Linked DNA regions of Caenorhabditis elegans. The protein of the gene in region 2 purifies or fractionates together with the protein of the main gene of each other region. This does not show direct contact. Each region holds a gene or a part of one and is shown on either strand. Other genes may lie near its edges.

Region 1 (4,856 bases), on a different chromosome or scaffold from region 2:
GACCTTTTTTTCGGCACTGTTCGGAATATTCACCAAAATTAATTTTTTAAACTCATAAATGCAAAGAAACTTCAAAAATTGATTAATATGTACGGAATTTATCATGTTAATTTCAATTTTACTAACTTCAATGGTAAAAGAATTTGATTTGTTTAAGAAGCTATTTAGTTTCTTTTCTAATGTGCCGAAGTGACGAGTGCCGATCGGCACAATGTGCCGACTTTTTTTTTTGAAAACGAAAGCACCAAAGTCATACAGCACAGGGCTGCCTTCTGTATCTGTGTATGAAACGGTATAAGGTCCGTCGATGGTGCACTGAATAAATTTTCCACCGCTTTTGGATTTATATACTTTGTTATCAAACTTAACAGTGTGTTAGTCAAGCTGAAATCATTTATTATTTTTAAAGCATTTCAATTAGTTTATTCCAGGTTTGAGCTCACTCAAGATGGACACTCATCGCTGGAATATTGTTAAATTAATCATGTTTTCACCTTTACCACTTACCACAATACAAAAAAGACCTTGGATTTCAGCCCATTAACAGTGTCCTCTTCGACCAGGCTGTTTGAAAAGTCCGATCCTCTATAGACAGCTCCTCTTGGATATTTTGTGATGTACCATTCATTATTTTCACAGATCACGCCGCATTGTGTAAAGATGTCAAATGGGCCGGCAGTACCAAGAACAGCTTGAACAGTCTGAACCAGGAATCTAGAAATTTTTACTGAAAGCATGGAAGACTCACTCCAAGGCCCGTAACGTCATCATCTGGCTTAGGAATTTCGGATTCTCTCCAACGAAAGGCAATTGTAGTATGAGTACCTGGCACGCACGTCGCATTCCGATTGCATCCAGCATTTTCCGTGTAAAATATGTGTTCTTCATCTATGTAGAAAAACGATTTGGTGGAGGAAAAGGTAGTAGGTAGTGCAAAAACTTACTTGTTATTAGATCAAGAAAGCTTGGACACTCACAATCGTCTTCGCATCCATATTCGTCTTCGCAGGCAACATAGCAAATGAGAAGTAGGAAAATGAGATATTGCTTCATTTCGACCATAGACAGTATAGTTTTGAGTGGCTTTTATACGGTTAGCTGATCAATAATCTTGTTAAGTGTTACTTTCCAAATGCAAATTAGAGTATTTAACCAAACATCAATGCTTGACTACTTCCGGCTTTGCGGAAATTTAAAGTTATAATTCAAGAATATACATAGACCATAATTTGAAAAGTTTAAAACTTTTTCCCATGGAAAGCAACACACCCAAGATTGGCTTACAAAAGTTTCATTAGTGATGAAAAGCGTGATAACTAAAGGGTAGGTAGGCGAATCCTTCTACCTACCTTTCTTGGTATAAGTTGGTCTGATGTCGACAAAATCTTTTTATCCGGCTCTATCTTAAAATGGCAACTGACCGAACATCTTTTGTGTTAATTAATCAAAATGTCTACAGTATTGATCTCTGGTGCTCCAACATCCTAGCTATTAACATATTAACAGATCAATTTACGAACCAACTCGGTGAATAAAAGGACAGACGTTTAGAGAATTGTTCACATGACAACATGAAAATCAAAATTTTTGCTTTTCTGGTCATATTTTTTTCGTGTTTCTGCATGGAACGTCTAGCATGTCAGAACCAGAGTTGCCCGTGCTCCAATCTCTATGACAACCTGAACGGTAAGCCAGCTGCTCTGACAGTTTAGTCGTAACTAGATGTATTCAGATGCAGAAAACACGGTATACTACGAGGGGCTAGGTTGCTCCAGAACCGTATACTGCACGGTCGGCTATTGGACGTGGCTAACTTTGTCCTGGGAGTTGTCCGACATACCCACTCCAAGTGACATTTACGAGGATACATTTGTGAGTTACAAGCACTTTAACACACCCTCAAGATTGATTACGTTTAGTTTGCTTTCACTTGGAATCATACAGACCCTATGGGGGTTTATGCCGGGGGTCCTATCACTGACCTGGTCTCTCTGTTGGGAATGCAGTGTGACCGCAGTACAAGCCAGTGGATTGTGACAAGATACCCATTTGGGTATTCCTATTTCAATCAAAACGATGAGAAGATTGTTATTGATGGGTACAGCGTGGAAGGCGTCAGATCAATAGTTTCGTCGACGGATTCACGATTTTCTTGGTACCCGTGAAATAATACGATTTAAAAAAATATATACAAGTTTCAGCGCAAATATGTGCAGATGTTCAGACCTGATGAGCTTGGTCGAGGGTATTTAAATTGGTGGGCTAGCTCTCAAGCCAACTTAATTGATTTCAGATTCGTCTGAAAATATTCTGTACACCTTTAATGGAAATCATTGCAGTAGCAATTTCACTTGTAATGCAGACTCCCAAACATTCATCCGATCTAGTTTTGACGGGTCGGAGATTCCTGGTATTGGTAATCGTACGGGTGCAATGGTAAGGGAAACCAGAATGCATCATCAACTTGACTAAACAATCTCAGCTGATTCCCACGATTCCCGAAGAAGATCAGCCAGAACACTCCTCTATAAACATTATGGTCGAACTCGGGATATATTGTCATGAAGGGGAATGGTATGTAACACAATATCCGTATGGAGTTACATACATGGATGATACTGGAACGAAATACATCACCGGAGAGGATTGGGGAGGGAAGAAATCTAAAGTTCTTGGGTTCAGATGGTAAATGATTTTGACTTTAGGTTATTTTGAATTTAACTGATTGTGAGTTTGATTTTTCAGTACAAAGTGGCCTTGAACTTCGTCGATTGTAGCAATAAATAATGTCCATGTAGACTATTGTTAAGATATCAATAAATACAATAGTCCTTCCGCACTAGACGCAGACCACATATGATGTGCAACTAATTTTATTTTGGCTTGTTAGAATGTAAGAATGTTGAAGACTGCAAAACTAATTGAGAAAATTTTGAAACACAACAGTAGTTTCTGGACAGGGCTGCCTTCTGTATCTGAATATGAATAAGGCCGCCTTTGAACCGCCAATAAGCCACTGAATATATTCTCCACCACTTTTGGTTTATATCTTTTGTTATCAATCCTAAAAGTGTGTTAGTCAAGCTGAGATCGTTTATTAATTTAATTTTTAAACGGTTCAAAAATTTGGAAAATGGGGGTTTTATTTCTGAAAGTTCTTGAAATTTGATATTATAGATCTGAGAATAAATTGTAGAAAGTCTTGAGTGGATAACATTTTTTTAACCTTTTTTTTGAGAAGTCGGGGGGGGGGGGCAGTACTAATAGAATACGGTTTAATTCAAAGTACACTGCATTCGTCATTATGTTCTTGAACAGAAAGCACACATAATTCAACAATCGTTTTAACAAAATTTCAGAAATTAAATCTTTCATCAAACAAATCTGTCTACTTTTTGACCACCTGTCAATTTTTACATATTCCGTAATAAAATTATGTTTTAAATTCAGAAAAGCTCAACATTTGCAATAAAATAGCTAGACAGTTCTGAAAGAAGAAGGCGATTATTATAGTACGTATTTCAAAAAAAAAAGGATCTTTCAGAAAATCCACATTAGTTTCGTTCTTGCGTCCCATTGGTCAACCGCGGAATTGAGAGATGATCTTCACTATTTTGTATTGTATTATTTTTTTAATGACGCCACGGGTGCCTGGGTCGTTGTAAGCGTGTAAAATACATGCAAATCTTCAACAAAAAACATTATGTTTTAAACATTTATATTAACGTTTTTGCAACGACATTGAACAATGAGTGTATGATAACCATTTATTACGACAATCGACACAATACACGACTTCTGTCCCTTTCACGGCCATTCTTTGCTGAAATTGGTATTTTATTTGTTAATGACGTAATTTAATTTCAGAGTACCAAGACATTGAGATAAAGGTGGATCTGACGTTGTCAATCTTTTCATTAACGACAATCTTTTTGCCTCTATTGTCGAAATAATAATACCCGAACGGGTATCTGGTAATGTACCAGAAATATGCAAAACATCTGTCATTGACAAGCGACTTCGTATCGCAGGCACATTGTATTCCCAACAGAGATACGAAATCAGGGTTAGTGGGCGGAAGTTGATTATAGAGCGTTCGATTCCACATTGAAGCATACTGAACTTGAAAAAATTAGCGTCTAATGCTTTGCGGAAATGTCAACGTTTGGCATTTTTTGTGACAAATCAAACTAAAAGACCTTTCAAATAATTGATGAATTATTGAAAAAGTATATATTTTTAATTTTTCTATAAAAAATTGGTTACTGTTCCAAAGTTGAGGGAAAAATACGGTAAGTGTTTTGAAAAACTGAAAAACGGAAACTTTTTTGAATAAGAATATCATTCATACTGGGGTGCACGGCAATCGAATTTCAGGCAATTTAGGTAATTTCGACAACTGCCGGAATTCCTGATAGTAGGAAATTCTAAAACCCAAAGTTGCAAAAATTGACGATTGCCGCGCATCGTTGAATCATAATCACGATTAGGCCATCTCTTATGTCACTCGGAAGACTCGGGAGGCCGGACCAACTTGCAACTGTATCCGCAACGGGGTAATGATTAGATGGGCATGTAGCACTTATAGTGCATCCCTTTCCCTCATTGTATAACATTGTGTCTCTTGAATAATCTGAAAATAGCTAGATGAAACATAAAGTAATGTAAACCTTATCTGCACGAATTACAATAGCTTACAATTGATTCTGCTGGTAAAGTTCTTGCACGGGCAGATTTGATCCTCAGGCCAGGTGCTTACCTAAAAAAGTGTGAAGAGTTTAAGAACTGAAATTAGAATTGAAGGACAATCTTCTCTGAAAACCCGAAATCATAGGGGTCTATGCTTTCAGTTAATG
Region 2 (6,790 bases):
CTTCTTAATTTAATTATACGAGTAAAAGCGTGTTTCGACGCACAATACGTATACGCCTGTCGAGTGAATTCAATAGTTTTAAAAACTCAAATTTAAATATATAAAAATGGTTTACAAAACCAATCAGATGAAATCCAATTAAAAAAGAACAATAAAATTTTTAAATGTCCAGCATTTCCTTTTTTCTATAAAAAATACCAGTAAAAACATAAAGTTTTTGCAAAATAAATAGAAATAAATATCAAAATTATTTCAATCATCTTCTTGTTCAAAATCTCCAAACGGCCATCCTCTTTGCTCTCCAGTCTGTAGTTCTGTATACGGCCAAGCAATGAATGAATGCGTCTTGACACCATGCACATAGTTGAACTCCTGGAAGCATGTCCTGCAGAAGTGTGTGTAGGTGTTGGGAAGAAGCTCGTGGCGTTCGACGACGAATCTGGAAATGTAAAATTTTAAATTAATTTACTTTGAGGAAAAACAATAATTTTTGCGAATTAAACTTACTCCACATGCCCTTTTTTACAAATATCACATTTCTTTTCATTTCCCTTCTCGTATAAGGTGAATGGATATTTATCGATTCCCCACGGGTCCGATTCATGAAGAAGTCGCAAATCATGAAAAACGAGTAGATGTTCACAATTCCCAGAATGCTGGAATATGTACGGCTGCCCTAGACGCAGCTTCAGGTCAATAATTCTGACTCCTTCCATACTACAAGCCTCCACTGGATCATAAATCTCGCGGTGAAGCATAAAGTTGCGGATTGGGCTGAAAAATGTTTTTAAACATTTTTCTAAAGAAAATTACTAATTACTGTGAAATGTCAATTGCATTGGGTGGCATATCCACATAAAAGGTATCATGAACAAATATAAATGATGATGGAAATCGAACTGCGGTTGCATTATCCAAATTCGGTGGATCCAGCTCCAAACCATTCTCCAATGGAACAATTGTATCACTTTGACATACCTGAAAGTTTAAAAAAAATTAAATATTTAATGTGTGTTTTAAATTCAAAAAATCATACAAATTTCTGCCGTAAATCCGAAAGAAGGGTGTCTCCACGAACAAGAAACTTGGTCATTGGCTTCAAAAGTCGCGAGCTCCGAAGTTCAGAAGATAAAAGTTCTCGATTGTATGGCATCAGTGCATCAACGATAAGGACAATGTCATCTTCACATTTCTCTAATATTGAACATTGAGGATGGAAAAGCTGGAAAAATTATTTTATAAAGATTTTTATTTTTATTAATTAATTTACAGAAGTATTTGCTCCGGCGTTCAACATGTATTTGTCATATTTCAGTGACGTGACATATGCGGACTTCCGCTGCCTTGAAGTTTTCATAGTCTTTTCTCGACTTATCACATGTCTGAAAAATTATAGTTTTTGAATAAAAGGTTTAAATAATATTTACTTGTGGGAAACTAGCGGTGATCGTTCGAGGAACTTGCGATCCCCCTTCATATCTTCAAATCGTCGAGTTTGAACGTCTGATGACCCCTCCAGAAACATATCGAGGCTGAAAATCAATAAAATTAGTTGTTTTTCGATTTTTTGAAATTTACTTTACTTTGAAACTTCTTCAATAGCTTCCAATGATTCTTCTTCTGTTACTCCTTGAATATAAGACAGACTGTTCTTCCACATTTCCATTTCATGTTCTTTTTCGGTTTTTGAATCGAAATCGTCCATTGTTCTATCGATAATAACTGAAAATTCGACAATATTCGATTGTTTTAAGATAATAAACTAACCTTCTCCCAACTCTCGAACTTCCAGCATCTCTTCCTTCACTGTGGCTAAATTGAGCAGTGGAGAAATATACCATTGTTCATCAGAATTGAACTTTCTGTCCATTTATTTAAAAATTGAATTCAAACAGTTATACGGAGGAGAAAGTTGGATAAAAGAATTCGAAAAATTGCTTTTTCAAAAAAAAAAACAATTTTCTGGAGGGGTACGGTGTACAACGGTGTTTGCACAGTTTATTGTACACCGACGCGCAATAATGCACATTTGTGTGCGCGGGAAATTTTGTTGGGCGGCAAATTTTGAATTTTAGGCCTCGAACATTCCCTCTTTTTGTCATTCTCATCTTCATTCGCTACTTTTTTTTGCAATTTTTTGCCTAAAACGCTTTCAAGCTACTTCTGCATCGTTTCGCGCTTTAAATTTGCAAATGGTCTGTCCTAAAACGTTCTGCCCCTCATTTTAGCTTCCTTTTTCTGTTCCATTTCCTGTGAAAGGTGACTCATTCATAAACTATTCCCTTCTCAGCGGTTTAGGAGACTGGGGAAATTGTAATTTTGTAGTTTTATTCGTGATTGATGCATAAAATTGCATAAAATAGGCCGCCATAATCTTTCTTGAAGGTCAGCCACCGTGTTTATCTGATATATAATTATTATGTCCTTGCTGCGATCAGCTCAACCGGGCGCAATAGGCGGATACCATTCATCATTTTCGACATGTACAAGTACTTCTCGTGTAACATATTTGCACAGCTTGTCATGGTTTCTGGTTATTCGGGTCATTTTAGTATCTGTTCCATTATAATTTCCCCAAAAAACTGTTTGCTGTTTGTTTCTGTTCTTATCATTTCCCTAGATTGCGTGTTATCAGCTCAAATTCTTCTGTTGTTTCTACTTTTCGGCGCCGAATGAATCACAGAAATAGAATTTCTCTTTGCAACTGATTAATATTTTGAGTTCCACTTTTTCAGTTGGCTAGTTCCTTAACTTCGTAAGCCAGGCGCGTCGTCTTTTCAAATTGCTAGATGGATGGGCACATTTTTTGAAATGCCTCGCCTGTGGCGGGTTGGTAAGGGACACCGCTGTCGCCCGTTGGTCAAGGCCGTCACAAAGCATTCGCGTCCCTGTCCATCCGAAACATAGAGGGCGCGGAGAGAAAAACGACGGGAGAAGGGAGGGAAGCACGGGCGGCGCCAGTCTCTATGTTTCTCGCTTGGTATAATGTGTCTCATCGACAACGGAAAGTGGGGGTAAGAGTAGAGCTCTTTTTCGTCCCCAGCGCCGACACACGACCCTTAACTCGACTTTTTTCGTCAGTTATTTCTTGGAATTTTTTTTTGAAGCTTCCCGTTGATTTGGATTGTATTTTAAAATCGTTATCCAACCAGCAACTGATCTAGATAGTACCCATTAACATTGTCTCCTGGCGCGTGTACTACGGTAATTGACCTTTCTCTGACTGGCTGCATGTGTGACGAAGTATTGGCTGCATATGTATCGTATTGTATAGGCGACCCCAAGCCGATTGTCACTGCCACGTCATCTCCGTTTCTCTTTTCTCCGCAATTCTCAATTCACCACCACCGCAGCCGTCAACAGGGGTACGATTTCCATCGCATTGAACTAGTTTTTGTCCCTCGTTTTTCTTCACGGTTCGTCTTCATCTCTTTTATTCTGAAGGCTTTTCAAAGCTGCAGGCCCCCAGCACATTTCATTCGGTTCCCATAGGATTACTGCGCGCCAAGCGGCATCTCCCTCTCTACCCCAAACCAATAGCACCAAATTGCACCCGATGAAAAGCCATCTGTGTCGTGTGCTCTATCTCCTTCTGCCAAACCTAGTGGTGACACGCAAAACAAATGGATTAAGCAAAAAGAGAGGGAATTGATGGACATTTTGTGTATGTTTCGCAATAGATTTGCCTCTGCTCTCTTCCTCTTCACCCATTCTACCCATATCTGCATATTTCGCAATAGTCTATTCGATTTCACCACCCTTTGCAGTCCAACAACGACTGCTGCCCCAGTGGCCACTGCGGTTTTTAATGCGAGCGGGCGCCGCGCGCCCCGTGTTCTCGCGATTATCGATCCGAATGCACACAGCGTCGGACACAACTGCGCCCGACCCGCCTCTTCTTCGTCTCCATTCCATACATCCCAAGAGCTGCATGTCTGCTCCTACAACGTCCTTTTGTTTCCTTTTTGGGGTAGCGATTATGAAAAGTGGGCTCATTTTAGAGCAAATAGAAAGGTACTTGCGCTGAAATTTTTATCGAAAGTAGTTAATTTCGGAGTGCAATAAACTAGAATCAACCTATATAGAATAGAAAAGAATCACCAATTAAACATCTCTTATATTTTTCAAGGTAACCTTATTCAACCTTATTCCTAATTCGTCTTTTAATTTCTTATTTTCGCCGTGAATCATTTAATTTCAGAGCACAATAAACTAGAATCAAATCACCAATTAAACATCTCTCAAATTTCAATGTATTAAAAAAACTTACTCCTTTAATTTTAAATTTTTGCCGTGAATCATTGCTTTTCAATATCGACCATGACGTGTTCTCTTTCTTTTGTTATTTTCCTTCATCTTCTCTATCTAAATATAGTTTTTCAATTCATTACGACCTTTTCAGCAAAAATGAGAGAGATCGTCCACGTGCAAGCCGGACAATGCGGAAACCAAATCGGATCCAAATTCTGGGAGGTCATCTCCGACGAGCACGGAATCCAGCCAGACGGAACCTTCAAGGGAGAGACGGATCTCCAGCTTGAGCGCATTGACGTCTACTACAACGAAGCCAACAGTGAGTTTTTAAAATTTTCTGGAGATTTCGAAATCGTTTAGTTGGAATGATTAATTAATTAAATTTTTTCAGACGGAAAGTATGTGCCACGCGCCGTGTTGGTCGATCTCGAACCAGGAACCATGGATTCTGTCCGCTCTGGACCATTCGGCCAGCTGTTCCGTCCTGACAACTTTGTGTTCGGACAAAGCGGAGCCGGAAACAACTGGGCCAAGGGTCACTACACAGAAGGAGCTGAGCTTGTCGACAATGTGCTTGACGTGATCCGCAAGGAAGCCGAAGGATGCGATTGTCTTCAAGGATTCCAACTCACTCACTCTCTCGGAGGAGGAACCGGATCTGGAATGGGAACACTTCTCATCTCCAAAATCCGCGAAGAGTACCCAGACAGAATCATGAGCTCATTCTCGGTTGTACCATCGCCAAAGGTGTCCGACACAGTTGTAGAACCATACAATGCCACCCTCTCCGTCCACCAGCTTGTTGAGAACACCGATGAGACCTACTGCATTGACAACGAGGCCCTCTACGACATCTGCTACCGTACCCTCAAACTCACCAACCCAACCTACGGTGATTTGAACCATCTTGGTAAGTTATTATTTCTTGTTCAAGTTTAAGTTATGCACAAGTTACCCAAATTGAAACCTAATAATTACAATTTTCAGTATCCCTCACCATGTCCGGAGTTACCACCTGTCTCCGATTCCCAGGACAGCTCAATGCCGATCTCCGCAAGCTTGCCGTCAACATGGTTCCATTCCCACGTCTTCACTTCTTCATGCCAGGATTCGCACCACTTTCCGCCAAGGGAACCCAGGCTTACCGTGCCCTTACCGTCGCCGAGCTCACCCAACAAATGTTCGATGCCAAGAACATGATGGCTGCCTGTGACCCAAGACACGGACGTTACCTGACCGTGGCCGCTATGTTCCGTGGACGCATGTCGATGAGAGAGGTTGACGAGCAAATGCTCAACGTTCAGAACAAGAACTCGTCCTACTTCGTCGAATGGATCCCGAACAACGTCAAGACCGCCGTTTGTGACATCCCACCAAGAGGACTCAAGATGGCTGCCACCTTCGTTGGAAACTCGACCGCTATCCAAGAGCTTTTCAAGCGTATCTCAGAGCAGTTCACTGGTAAGAAATTTGAAACTATCATCCAGTATCAGTTTTAAAAACGTTATTTTTTCAGCTATGTTCCGCCGCAAGGCTTTCCTCCATTGGTACACTGGAGAAGGAATGGACGAGATGGAGTTCACCGAAGCCGAGAGCAACATGAACGATCTCATCTCAGAATACCAACAATACCAAGAAGCAACTGCCGAAGACGACGTCGACGGATACGCTGAGGGAGAAGCTGGAGAGACTTACGAATCGGAGCAATAAATGCAAGATCCTTTCAAGCATTCCCTTCTTCTCTATCACTCTTCTTTCTTTTTGTCAAAAAATTCTCTCGCTAATTTATTTGCTTTTTTAATGTTATTATTTTATGACTTTTTATAGTCACTGAAAAGTTTGCATCTGAGTGAAGTGAATGCTATCAAAATGTGATTCTGTCTGATGTACTTTCACAATCTCTCTTCAATTCCATTTTGAAGTGCTTTAAACCCGAAAGGTTGAGAAAAATGCGAGCGCTCAAATATTTGTATTGTGTTCGTTGAGTGACCCAACAAAAAGAGGAAACTTTATTGTGCCGCCAAGAAAAAAGTCTCATTGCCTAAGAGAAACATATGTGGTTGGAAATCTTCCAGATCGTGGATCAATTGAAGAATTGTCATGTTGGCTTATAACGTGCCCAATGAGCCAATCATCTCCTATTCGATCCTCGACAAGAACACATTGACCTTCTCTAATCTTAAAATAATTCAGATTTATAATATAGATCTCAATTAAATAGAGCCACCTCAATCTCGTCAGCATGCTTCGGCTCAAAATCATAAAGAACTCTACAAATTGTCGGTGGACTTGAAGTGGGCTCATCGAAAGTTGTAGTTGTTCGAATAGGACCACCATTTGATGATGTTGTTGTTGTTGAGTAGAAACCGTCGTCGGATATCTGAAGATTGAAAAATGATTACTACTTACATGGGTTTTTCGCGGCAGAAATACGGTACGCGGTCTCGATACGAAAAAGGGTGTTTAATTCGAAGAGGCGTGCGCCTTTAAATAGTACTGTAATTTAAAACTTATTGGTGTGGAATTTTTTATCGAT

What was found. The genes of interacting proteins can lie anywhere in the genome.
Region 1: the proteins of snpc-3.4 (region 2) and T10D4.11 fractionate together in Caenorhabditis elegans (co-fractionation; one large-scale study listed by BioGRID). This does not show direct contact.

The regions. Positions count from the first base shown.
Region 1 is NC_003280.10:3,146,337-3,151,192, reverse strand, and holds T10D4.11 (CW domain-containing protein), read left to right. Parts: upstream 1-1,571; coding exon 1,572-1,686; intron 1,687-1,732; coding exon 1,733-1,872; intron 1,873-1,919; coding exon 1,920-2,155; intron 2,156-2,201; coding exon 2,202-2,245; intron 2,246-2,293; coding exon 2,294-2,436; intron 2,437-2,482; coding exon 2,483-2,685; intron 2,686-2,745; coding exon 2,746-2,761; downstream 2,762-4,856. Other genes in the region: T10D4.1 (DUF19 domain-containing protein), read right to left, coding at 504-701, 749-888, 945-1,053; T10D4.15 (CW domain-containing protein), read right to left, coding at 4,428-4,633, 4,699-4,759.
Region 2 is NC_003281.10:4,015,240-4,022,029, reverse strand, and holds snpc-3.4 (snRNA-activating protein complex subunit 3), read right to left. Parts: upstream 1,994-6,790; 5' UTR 1,871-1,993; coding exon 1,768-1,870; intron 1,723-1,767; coding exon 1,584-1,722; intron 1,533-1,583; coding exon 1,428-1,532; intron 1,383-1,427; coding exon 1,271-1,382; intron 1,223-1,270; coding exon 1,037-1,222; intron 979-1,036; coding exon 821-978; intron 775-820; coding exon 508-774; intron 440-507; coding exon 253-439; 3' UTR 147-252; downstream 1-146. Other genes in the region: tbb-2 (Tubulin beta-2 chain), read left to right, coding at 4,408-4,573, 4,646-5,164, 5,242-5,715, 5,771-5,964; C36E8.4 (SH3 domain-containing protein), read right to left, coding at 6,289-6,432, 6,482-6,634.